2 linked regions of the Saccharomyces cerevisiae S288C genome follow. The protein of the gene in region 2 interacts with the protein of the main gene of each other region in a pairwise test. Each region holds a gene or a part of one and is shown on either strand. Other genes may lie near its edges.

What was found.
Region 1: the proteins of ECM5 (region 2) and SNT2 interact in binary tests that used the Saccharomyces cerevisiae proteins (3 or more experiments, as listed by UniProt).

Annotation. Positions count from the first base shown.
Region 1 is NC_001139.9:261,070-267,629, forward strand, and holds SNT2 (DNA-binding E3 ubiquitin-protein ligase SNT2), read right to left. Parts: upstream 4,791-6,560; coding exon 579-4,790; downstream 1-578. Other genes in the region: ITC1 (Itc1p), read left to right, coding at 1-432; CEG1 (mRNA guanylyltransferase), read left to right, coding at 5,076-6,455. UniProt on the Saccharomyces cerevisiae protein: Transcriptional regulator that, together with ECM5, recruits histone deacetylase RPD3 to a small number of promoters of stress-response genes in response to oxidative stress.
Region 2 is NC_001145.3:609,712-616,502, forward strand, and holds ECM5 (Ecm5p), read left to right. Parts: upstream 1-2,028; coding exon 2,029-6,264; downstream 6,265-6,791. Other genes in the region: DDR48 (DNA damage-responsive protein 48), read left to right, coding at 1-270; PAI3 (Pai3p), read right to left, coding at 448-654; SIP18 (Sip18p), read left to right, coding at 1,305-1,544; YMR175W-A (uncharacterized protein), read left to right, coding at 1,603-1,797. UniProt on the Saccharomyces cerevisiae protein: May be involved in cell wall organization and biogenesis.

The sequences.
Region 1 (6,560 bases), on a different chromosome or scaffold from region 2:
AAGTTGGAGGTGATTGCAGACGAACTCATGAAGCTAGATGATAGCTCGAAAACACGCAATGTTCTTAATAGAATACAAGAATTAGAAGATCAGAGAGATGAACTCTTGGAACAGAAAAAATCCATAATAAATTCGCAGAGGCCAGGCGCGAGGATTTTAGCCCGTTCAGAAAGGAAAAGAACCAAAATCTCCCGTGGTAATAAGGTGAATAAGCAGATTGAAATATTGACTGACTTAGTCAATTATAGACATTTTAAAGCTATGGAAGATGTGATAGCTTGGAAAAACGTTTTAGCAAATTCGATATGGGGTTCCTCACTTCGCAAAAATGCATCTGGTAATAAAAGGAGTGGTGTCATTGAAACAGTAGACGATAAATTAAAAGATATAGTGGGCCAAACCTCAAGAACAGTAACACCTGCCCCAAATTAATATATAAAAAACTTCCTTTGTAACTGATGGTAAATTGTAGTATTCATAAATAGGATAAGATTATTCATTGTAAGCATAATGGAAAAAAATAACACAACAAAGCCGCGCAAGATTGGACCATACTTTCTATCTAAGGTAACTATCACTTACTGGCTTGATGGATGCGTATTTTTGTCGGTACCAGCTTCTGAAATATCGATATCAAACATAGCTGGCTCAATTCCTTCCATCAATTGCTGGGTAATTTCGACTGGTAAACCGTTATCGTTAGAGATATTAGCAGATGCGCTATCAAAATCGAGTTCTTGGGCACCTGATCTCAAATTGCAAGAATGGCAAATAATATCTTCATACCAGTATAAACTTTTGTTTGTACCACAATGTGGGCAAGTCCTTTCGAAAGGAAGTACGTAAATTTTGGGTTTAATAGCAGAGTCGTGTGAGTTTCCTGGCATTTCGCCGTGTCGCAGTCTAAGCTGTTCAAAATATCTCAACTCCACTAGACTATGGTCAGATTCGCACTTATAATATCTGCAGTATTGTTCTATGTATGACAGAGTATGTTGAGGCTTGTACGATAATGGATAAAGTTCGTTTCCTTCTAAGCTGATATCGTGTCTATCGCATATTAGTATAGGTCTCAAAGTGTATGTATCGTTAAGCTTGACATCCTTTATGCACGGTAGAGTGGTGTCTACAGACATATTTTTCTTTTCAAACATAAGCTTAAAATTGGAGCTGTTCTGTGCACATGTAATATGATACCTATATTGGCATTTGTTACACTTCACTAACCCACCTCCATTTATCCTGCACACACCACATGTAAATCTACTATGTTTAATAAGCACAGCAGTGGTATTAAGGGCAGGTTGCATTGATTGTCCGTTTCCATATTTGATATCTTCATTGAAAAGTGAGCAAACCAAATGCACCCATGTCCCTAAGCTCGTGCATTTCAATGCGTCTGGACATATTTTAAATGATTGGCTCCTATATCTATCATAGTCATAGTCCTTCGTAGGACACATACTACATTGGTAGGTCGTTGATATTATAGGATTGAGGTCATTTGAACAAGGGTCACATAACCATTTAAATGTCTTAAGGTTAGTGTTTTTCTTCATATCTTTCGGCAGTTTAATAGCATAACAGAAGTAGTGTACTGTAAGTCCACAATTACCACATACTACCTCATAGTTGTCATTGTCGTTAAATTTTTCTTTGCAGACACTACAAAAAGTCCTTGCGCTATTATTTGCCCATGCTGTATCAGGATTTTTTGGTTTATTCTTAGTGTGTTTCAAAATCATGTCTTTCTCTAACATTTTGCTCGGTTTATTACCATCATGGTATTTTTCAAGGGCGACAGAAGTTTCCTTAGAATGTGAAATAACTGTATAATTGTACGATGCCCCGTTTGGTTCGTTTAACGGATTACTTAACGCTATGTCATTGATCATTTTGATCTTCTTCGTTGAAGGTTCATTATATTTTGGCAGCTTATTATTCACTAACTTTAAGCTATTCCGTAATCGCTGAAATGTTTTGTTATCAAATTTGACAAATTTAAAACCTTTATCTACAGACACTGAACCAGAAGAACTGCCGCCTGTTTTAATTGAAATTTCTATCAAATCATTCGAAGCATTAGTGATTTTAGGAATATTGTTATTACTAGCCTTCTCGATAAATACATCGTTGCACTTGCGATTTCGGCTTGTATCACTTGTTTTGATAGTACCAGGTGATTGTCGAATTATGTTCACGGGAAATTCGTCCTTTGTGTTTTTCGCTCTTTCTGGCTTTTGTTCAGGGATGGCTTTTCTTACCTCTTTGTTGTCCTCTATAAATAGCTCAAGATCTCGTTGCATCGTCTCCGGGTGAAACTCATTCTTTCGATATGATCTCACAGCCATTTTGTAGAGTTGCGTGTGGAATGTCATGGAATACCGCTTCATTTTCACAAATGAATTTGGGTTCTTGTAAACTTTCATTCTTTGCCTGATAATTAGCTCTGAATCCTGAACAAGTTCCCATTCTAGTAGTTTATTATGAGCTTGAAAGGGAGATAACGTAAACTTGTTTGTGTTATTCTCCTCTATAATCCCTTCTATCGCTGAATAAAAACTATTCTGACAGGTTCCCGTTATTTTTCTCAATGTTTCAAGCGGTGGTACCCACTTAATTGCGTATCTTCGCCACATACGAGCACAACGAATGCAAAGAGCGCCAAGTTTTTCATTCTTTTTGCTATGGGCAGGCGATTTCTCTGAAATTTCTGTTTTTTCGTTGACTCCTGTCTGCATTCTTATCTTGATCTTTTCATCATCTGAACCTCCAGTAACTCTATACCACATCGGGGAGTAATCTGTTTTACAAAACATGCATTGGAAGGAGGATTCTGCTAAAGAGAGTTTCTCAGTATCAAAAGAAGAATCATCTATATACTTTGTCTCTACGTCATTTTCATGATTAGCGATTTCTTTTTTTCTTTTATTCTTTGATAACTTACTCAATTTCCCTCTCACGGTAAGGCCTCTTTCAGTCTTTTTCCAATTGTAATAAAATCTAACAATCATCGACATAGGTTGAGTGCCCACATACTCACACACTGGGCGTAATTCACTCCCAAATTTCTCGACAGCTTCCTCAAACTTTCGGATCTCCACGGCGGTAAAACTTGGCTCTTTCAAAAATTTTCTGGAAAGCTCCCTTTTACATTTTTTAAATGCCTCTGCTGTATCATAATTTGTAAATAATAAATTCTTTAGGACTACATCAATGAAATTACAAGTCTCACCTCTCACATTGAGAATAGGGCATATTTCGCTTTTGCATTGTTCAATATATTCACTCAATTTTCGAGTAGTAATTTTTGATGCATCAAGTACCCATGCTAGTTCCGAAGTTTTCGTTGAGCCTCGCTCTTCTTCTGAATTTGCACTTATATACGAGTTCCGCCTCCAGGGCACATTATGATTACATCCGTTCCATTGATACTTCACTCCTACCCTAGAGGGTTTGAAAGGATATGGAAAAAACATAGAATCATTTAATGCGTCACCAATATGAGAAATGGAATATATTCCTAAGTATTGAAACCAGCAATTTTCGGTATTATAACCAACATTCTCTTTGATAGCTTTGCTAGAAATTTCTTCAATTTTTTGTCTTACAGAGCGAATAAAATCCAGTTCCAGTGCTTGTTCTTCTAGAAACCTAACATGCGAGTCCTTAGTACCTTGTTGTTTCTGTAAGCAACTGAAGCAGGTCCAAACGACGTCTTTGTTCGGCTTCCTGTCAAGTGGCGGATCCATACAGTATAGATGTGCACAAACGCCGCATTCATCACATGAAAGGCTCTCCTTTTGGATACACCATTCTTTACAGAACTGACATCTTTTATCCCATTGGTAGTCTGCAGGACTTAATTCGTTTACCTCTAGTTCATGGAAAACGTATTTCTTCAAAACGTTCTCCAATGGATACTTCGGTTCTGTATAGATATAACGAAATCTCCTATTCAAAACATAAAGAAATGGCGACTTACTGTTCCATTTATTTAATATTTTATCCGTGCTGTAAACTTTGTAATATTTCAAAGTATATCTGTCAAAAAGTTCATCAAAGTAAAAGATATTGGGTCGTATAATGCATTCCTTCTCATTAGGAAGAACATCAAAAACTTCGTCTTTATGAAATATACTACATTTTCCCCTGTATGATGAAATAGGACATATGTCCTGGTGTAATGATGCATACACCAACCTTGGGTTAAAAGTATTTACGTGCTCTTGAATATCCCTAGGACGATAAAACCAATTCATTCTAACTTGAAAAAATTTAGCAGGGAAGACCGATGTTGTCTTTATAGCTTCATGAATAGTGTTAGAAAATTCTGGTTTACTAACAAAATTTACAACTCTGCCAACATAATAAGGCTCGCCAGCAGGCTCTGATATCATATAAATAGTGTCGTTCGCAGATAAAAGGACAGATTCTGTATTGAAAAGAGACATCTTTTTCAAGTCAATCATGGCATCATCTAGATCAAGTATGTTAGAGAATCTGCTATTCTTTCTGAACGAAGGGGGTAATGTAGGGATAAAGTTCCAGCAAGTATTCTTATCATGAAGGAATTTTTGGTACTTGAATTTCTCGTTTCTACTAGCTGGATTGCTTGTCCTTTTACAATTCCTGGGAGTTTGGCTATTGCTACCCTTGGTCTTAGCACCACTTTTTTCCGCTATTTGTATTTGTTGAACTAATTTAGTATCTATTTCCATTTCATTATAATTCACGTTTTTAGCAGCCTCTCTTCTTCTAGGTAATTGGAAATCTTCTTCTTTAGGCATAGCGTGACCAGCTGAAAGGCAGATGATCTCAATATGTCCCGATAGGCCAATTTTGCCACCAGATAGTTCGATGGCATTTTATTTTTAGTCCTTTTGAAAGCAATATCATAAAATATATATAGTTCTCCATGATGTTCGGGTCAGTCGCTCCGAAGCGTAACCTAGTATAATAAATAGTTCATTGCAGAAAATAACGAAAGAAATGGTGGAATACGATCTGTTATATCTAAACTAAAGCTAACTAACGGAATAAGCAAATACGAATCGACCGCTAATTTAACAAATATGGTTTTAGCAATGGAAAGTAGAGTGGCACCGGAAATTCCTGGGCTCATTCAACCTGGGAATGTCACGCAAGACTTGAAGATGATGGTCTGTAAATTATTGAATTCCCCAAAACCTACGAAAACATTCCCTGGTTCCCAGCCTGTGTCCTTTCAGCATTCTGATGTGGAAGAGAAGCTGCTTGCGCATGATTACTACGTTTGTGAGAAAACAGATGGTCTGCGGGTGTTGATGTTTATAGTGATAAATCCTGTGACGGGTGAGCAAGGATGCTTTATGATTGATAGGGAAAATAACTATTATCTGGTTAATGGATTTAGGTTTCCCAGATTACCCCAAAAGAAGAAAGAAGAGCTGCTAGAGACTCTTCAAGATGGCACCTTATTAGATGGTGAACTTGTCATACAAACTAACCCAATGACAAAATTACAAGAGTTGCGTTATTTAATGTTCGATTGTCTTGCTATCAATGGTAGATGTCTCACACAATCACCAACAAGTTCTAGACTAGCCCACCTTGGAAAAGAATTTTTTAAACCATACTTCGATTTAAGAGCAGCGTACCCTAATCGTTGTACTACTTTTCCGTTCAAAATTTCCATGAAACATATGGATTTCAGTTACCAATTAGTAAAAGTTGCTAAAAGTTTAGATAAACTACCACATCTTTCTGATGGTCTGATATTTACTCCTGTGAAGGCACCTTACACTGCCGGCGGAAAAGATTCATTGTTATTAAAATGGAAGCCAGAACAAGAAAACACCGTGGACTTCAAATTGATTTTAGATATCCCAATGGTGGAGGATCCTTCTTTGCCTAAAGATGATCGGAACAGGTGGTATTACAATTATGACGTTAAGCCAGTTTTCAGCTTATATGTCTGGCAAGGCGGAGCTGATGTCAATTCACGTTTAAAACATTTCGACCAGCCTTTCGATAGGAAGGAATTTGAAATATTAGAAAGAACATACAGAAAATTTGCAGAGTTGAGCGTTTCAGATGAGGAATGGCAAAATTTGAAGAACCTAGAACAGCCATTAAATGGTAGAATAGTAGAGTGCGCAAAAAACCAAGAGACTGGGGCGTGGGAAATGTTAAGATTCAGGGATGATAAGTTAAATGGTAATCATACATCGGTGGTCCAGAAAGTTTTGGAGAGTATCAACGATTCAGTTTCATTGGAGGACCTCGAGGAAATTGTTGGTGATATTAAAAGGTGCTGGGACGAGAGAAGAGCAAATATGGCTGGTGGTAGTGGGAGACCACTACCGTCTCAAAGTCAAAATGCGACATTATCTACCTCTAAGCCAGTCCATTCACAGCCCCCAAGTAATGATAAGGAGCCAAAATATGTAGACGAGGATGATTGGTCGGATTAGGCTAAGAAGTGTTCGTATCGACATATATCGGTGTAAGAATTTTGTGTATGAATAAGATAGAAAAGCAAAAGCAATTGCTTTTGCTAAATTAATTCAGTTAGTTAT
Region 2 (6,791 bases):
AACAACGATTCGTATGGTTCTAACAACGATGATTCCTACGGTTCTTCTAACAAAAAGAAGAGTTCTTATGGTTCCAACAACGATGATTCATACGGCTCCAGCAACAACAATGACTCTTACGGTTCCAACAATGACGACTCTTACGGTTCCTCTAATAGAAACAAGAACTCCTATGGGTCTTCCAACTACGGTTCATCCAACAATGATGACTCTTATGGTTCATCTAATAGAGGCGGTCGTAATCAATACGGTGGTGACGACGATTACTAAGTTTTTGGATGTCTTCGATAAAAAAAATATATTATTGTGTTTAGACTTAAGTATGAAAATTTTATGTATGAGCTGTGGCTATGTATCCGCTGGCAAATAGGTCTGCTTTTTCTACACTTTCCACCCTCAACCTAACAGAGCCCGCTGGCACAAATAATCGATAGTAGGACAACAGAGCTACTCCTTCTTATGCCCCGCCCCTTTGAGCTTGTTGTATTGCTCTTGATAGTTGTGTTTTTCACTTTCATCAGCATCGGTAGTCTTGCCGTCCTTGTCTTGACTAGCCATTTTCTTAAAAGCGTCACTCACTACCTTTGCATCGCCCTGCAATTTTTCCTTTGAGCTCTGAAATATTTCGCTCACTTTTTGTTGGTCTGTATTCATTCTGGATGTCTTGGTTGTAGAAATTTCTTTTATTGGTTCATTAAAGTCAAGGTAAATGGCGAGAACTAGAATAGAGTTTTATTCTTTTTACCGTTATATAGATAATTCTAGCCGGGGGCGGTCGCCCCTGAGATTCCCGACATCAGTAAGACATAGTACTGTACGATTACTGTACGATTAATCTATCCACTTCAGATGTTCAACAATTCCTTTTGGCATTACGTATTAATACTTCATAGGATCGGCACCCTCCCTTAAGCCTCCCCTAAATGCTTTCGGTACCCCTTTAAGACAACTATCTCTTAACCTTCTGTATTTACTTGCATGTTACGTTGAGTCTCATTGGAGGTTTGCATCATATGTTTAGGTTTTTTTGGAAACGTGGACGGCTCATAGTGATTGGTAAATGGGAGTTACGAATAAACGTATCTTAAAGGGAGCGGTATGTAAAATGGATAGATGATCATGAATACAGTACGAGGTGTAAAGAATGATGGGACTGAGAGGGCAATTATCATCCCTCAGAATCAACATCACAAACATATATAAAGCTCCCAATTCTGCCCCAAAGTTTTGTCCCTAGGCATTTTTAATCTTTGTATCTGTGCTCTTTACTTTAGTAGAAAGGTATATAAAAAAGTATAGTCAAGATGTCTAACATGATGAATAAGTTCGCTGAAAAATTACAAGGTAACGATGATTCCCATCAGAAGGGAAAGAACGCCAAATCCTCCAACAAGGAAAGGGATGATATGAACATGGACATGGGTATGGGTCATGATCAGTCCGAAGGGGGAATGAAGATGGGCCATGATCAATCTGGAACAAAGATGAACGCTGGCAGAGGAATTGCGAACGATTGGAAGACTTACGAAAACATGAAAAAATAATGTTACGTTTTTTTGGGCGCAATTAACCAAGTCCTTTTATTTTTTTAATGGTTTATTTATGAATTGTTTATGTTTATGTTCTTTATACTCAAAATCAATAAGTGCTTATTTTAGCGAATTTTCTTCTACGAATATATATAAGTCATATCTAAGACTTCCATCCGTGCTTTATTACGTTTGTATGATGCATACAATGATGCCAAATCAGCTTGATGCTGTTGGTATTCAGTCGTCCGAAAGCCTGTTGATGTGACACTCAAATCTTCGGCATGTGTGAACGGTGGCCGAGCATAGTTCGTGAACATCATCACTTAAAATAAGAACTACACTTTACATCAGCGTGGAAGATAAAGGTTGTTTTAAGCTCAAGGGCGCTGGAGGTGTAGCGCTTCGGAGGAAAATAATATTGAATAACTTCGCTTTTTGTTCCAAATTCTAGATTATCGTGTATGTTCTTGTTCGTACGTCCATCTCCATAGTTATAATGAGTGGGCATGATTCTGTTACAAAAATATCTCATATCCTGAATGAACCGGTTAACGAAAAGGTAATGGTACAAAACGGGTTCCATGAAAGCTCTAAAATTGCAGACATCGAATTAGAGATACAGGAGCGACCTTCGATTAAACAATGGGAATCGCCGCGGAGTGCTGTAATTCCTACTTCAAATCATAATTTTAGCCCATTTCTCTATACGCAATTTAAATCTCGTGGTGCAGCACCGTTTGCACCTGAAACAATAAAATCTGTAGATTTAGTTGAGCTACCGGAGGGTGTACCCGCAAGAGTGTTTCATGAAAAGACGGGTTTATTTTATCAAATATCTCCACACTCTATTCCAACATTTATTTTAGCCAAAAAAGAACTCCCGGACCCCATAAAATTTTATGAGTTAGTGGAAGACTTAGGGTCAGTTTATGGATGTGTTAAGTTGAAAATTATACCAGATGCTGACAAATTTACTCAACTAAATGTTGATGTAGATCGCCTCTGGTTTAAAGCAAGAAAACAATTTTTCAATTCGAATGAATTTCAAAGAACCAAGATAGTTGATTTTTATGCGAAGTTGTATAATTTTCACAATAAAATCAAAAAGAGTACTCTCACAAGGATCCCAAGTATCGATAAACGCACCTTGGATTTATATAGACTGAGGAGTTGTGTGAAGTTGAGGGGAGGCTTCAATGCTGTTTGCGAAAAAAAATTATGGGCGCAAATTGGAAGAGAATTAGGTTACTCGGGCAGGATTATGAGTTCGTTATCAACTTCTTTAAGATCTGCCTATGCAAAAATTTTATTAGACTTTGACATATATGAAGAAGAAGAGCAAGCTGCTCGTAATAACGAAAAAAATGAAGACATGGTGGAATCTGAAATATTTCGTCACTCAAATAGCAGAAGTAGGGACGAAGAGGAGCCACTTCATAAAAAAGCTAAAATACACCGCGATGTCTTTAGAGCCGGATCGATTAATCATGAATTTAAAAGAATGCGGGACATAAAGCACATAAAAGGGTTTCCGACTTATTTTAACTCGTTAACTGAGTTTAAACTAGGCTATACACAGTCAACAGAGACCACATTACCGGGCTATGATTTTACTTTTTGGGAGAATGGTATGGAAATATACGATAAAAGCAAATACGAAACCAAAACCTCTCCAGTATACAATTTGAGACAGTATTACGAAAAAAGTCTGGCTGTTTTCACTGCTATTGTAGCGAAATTTGGGAGTAGCTATCCTGATTTGTTTGCGAAACACACAACATTACCTCAAAAGGAATTCGAGAGGTTATACTTTCATTTGCTATCGGAGCACTTTATAGATTTCGAAATTGACACCGGTCTTGGACTACCCTGTTCCATGAGATCACCAGGAAACAACTCGTCCAATGAAAAGTTTGCCATTAAGAATATTCTAGACCAGTGGAATTTAGACAACATTCCTCTCAATGAACTATCGCTTTTACAACACCTTGATCTGGATATGGCCAATTTTACGAGAACCACTTATGATATTGGAATGTTGTTTTCTTGTCAAGGTTGGTCTGTTTCGGATCATTTTTTACCTTCAATTGATTTCAATCATTTAGGTTCTACCAAGTTGGTGTACAGTATTGCGCCGAAAGATATGGAAAAATTCGAAGCTTTAATTGCTCGAGGAAAAAGTGAATGGGATACTATCCAATCAAGGCCGCGCTACTCCACCTCCGATGACGAATTAAAGAGCTTTATAGAAACAGATTTCTACAAGTCATTTTTGGATGCAGAACAATCTGCTGACTATTCAAACACTGGAGATAATTCAAAAAATTCATTTCCAGAAGATAAGATAGCAGGAAACACTCTACATGATGGTTCACAAAGCGACTTCATATTTGAGCCTAATTTCATCTTAGCCAATGGCATAAAACTTTATAAGACGACACAGGAGCAGGGCTCATACATTTTTAAGTTTCCGAAAGCCTTCACATGTTCTATTGGATCAGGTTTCTATCTATCACAGAATGCAAAATTTGCGCCAAGCTCCTGGTTGAGATTCAGTTCCGAGGCAGCAAAATGGACATCTAAGATGGGGTTTCTTCCCGGTTTAGATGTAAATCAATTACTTATCAATGCCCTACTAAACTCCAATAACCCAGTTTTAAGGAAAAAATGCCGTGATTTAATAAGTAACTACGTCGTTGAGGAAGCGGAAAACAGCAAAAAATTAGGGGAGTTGATTGGCACTGTAGATGTCGTTTATAATAAATTGAATTATATTTCAGATATTAGTTTAGAGTCAACTGGTCTTTCAAAAATCGTTGTTACACACGGTGCATTGCAACGTAATTTATCTCTGAAGGAATTCGTGGTATTGCTAGAAAAACCAGAAAACGGTGCTCATAGTATATGTGGCATCCCAATACGTGATCAATCTGGTAATCTCAATGTTTGTTTGCACTCATACTTTGATAGCGCAAGCCTAGGAATTGCTCTCGATGGCTTGGACAAGCCTCCGACTTCTTATCTGCTTGTTCACAATGAAGATTTTGAAAAAAAGTGGGACGTGTTAATGACTTCTACTTTTAGAAATAGAACTGTGCCATTAAATATAATACAGTATTTGATCTCTCATACTGATAGTAATACTGAGTTTAATCGAATGTTACGCTCCAATTTTGATGATTCATTACTACTTATTGAGAAATGTAAAAAGTTTATTAAGACCTTCGTGGATGTTTCCTGTTCTGTTAAAGATGTAGATTTCGGAAACGGTTTCAATTTACGTCATCTACCGCTTAAGTTTTCTGACAACATGGCTGATAATTTGGAGAGCTTGTATGAAAGTGTGCGGAAGTGCTCAATTGAATTTTCAGAAAAGCCGACAATTATCAGACTGTATCACGTATCTCGGCAGTTTCCTATCGATAATAGAGATATTATTGATGGCAATAATCTAGATTTGCTTAAGGAATTATATCAGAAATCGTTAACCATCCCGTTGAAGGTTTCTTATTGGACTAAGTTGACCAGAAAAATATGTAGGCTTGAATGGTTATCCGTTTATGAACATATATTCATTGAGCGATGTGATATTAAGAATGAAGACCCTGCGAAATATTCACTTCCACTGTTATATTCTTACTTCGAATTTGGTTTGAAATATTGTGATTCGGAAGATATAGATAAGTTAGGGGAAGTGAGAAAGCTGATTTTAAAATATCAGGACATGATGCAGAAAGTTCGAGTTTTTCTAAAAAAGGATCCACCCTCAAAAATATCGCTAAGTGATTTAGAAGACGTTTTATTAGATATAGAAGAATATCGGTTACCCATACAAAGTAGTTTTTTCAGTGAGCTTGATTATGTTATTAGAGAAATTGAAAATGCAAAAAAAATGAACGATGTGAATATTCTTTATAACACTGATAATATTGATAAAATAGACGAACTCATCAGGAAAAATGATCCTAAATTTGTGAAGTTTGCGAACCAGTTTAATGGTTCGAGATTAGATAAGAGACCGCTGGCCAGTGATAATTCAGGATCAGTGAAAGCCAAACAGGAGTTAAAAGTTTTCAAATTATGGAACCAGCACTTGGATCAAATAATGCAAAAAAATAAATTTATTGAGATACTGCCGTCGATTTTTAGATGTTTAGATTTGAAGTCAGACAAATACATTCCTTTGGAAAGTTGTTCTAAGCGCCAAACGAAATATTGCTTTTGTAGAAGGGTTGAAGAAGGTACTGCAATGGTCGAATGTGAAATATGCAAGGAGTGGTATCATGTGGATTGTATTAGCAACGGTGAGTTGGTTCCACCTGATGATCCAAACGTTTTATTTGTTTGCTCGATATGTACACCACCCTGTATGGCCGTTGACAATATCGAAGGTGTGACTTTTGAGCTTGACGACTTGAAGAGGATCTTAGTAGAATCTTTGAAGCTAAGTTTAATTCCAGATCCCCCTATCTTGAAGAATCTCTTTGACGTTTTTGCGTTTGCTTTGAACTTCAAAAATGAAATGGAAAAAGAACTATTTACTAACGGTTATGTAAATCAATTGTCCTCTACGCACAAGATCAAGTATTACTTGAGAAAGTTAAAAGGGTCACAATGCGGCTTTACTAATCTGACGGATCCCTTAAGGAAACATTGTCAGGTGAAAGATGCAGAAGCAATTAAATGGCTCACAGATAATGGAAGAATCATAATCACAGGAATTCCAAATTGAAACGTAATACTATCTTATTGATTAAAATCACTATTTACTTATCTAAAATGTACCTGCGAAGTCTGCATGACATATTCTCTCTTCTTTTATTGCGCATACCTCGTTTACTCATACTCAGATGTTCTACGACGTTTTCTATGGTTGGCAGTAGTTACCTATTGTTGACACTCCAGTATTGGGTGTTTCCCATCCAGCATAATCCCGGTAAAAAAAGACACCCCAGAATCTAGGAGAGCTCCTTTCGAAGGTGGAAAAGCGCGTTTTGCTGTCAATATTGATGTTTATTAGTAAGTGTTTACCGTTTCTTGATAGCTTTCCTTACGTAACAATTGTTCTTCTGCTTTCCTTCGTAGGAGGAACGCGCCAAGGCAATTTTTCTCGAGAGGTATGAAAAAAATAAAAAAAGCTCATTTCCATGACAACTTCAAGTAATTGACCATCTATAGGAACCCTAAGACTTTTGGCAACTTCGACTTAGAGCTCTTTTTTGTGGTTTTGTTCATTTACGCTAAATAACTGAGAGTTTA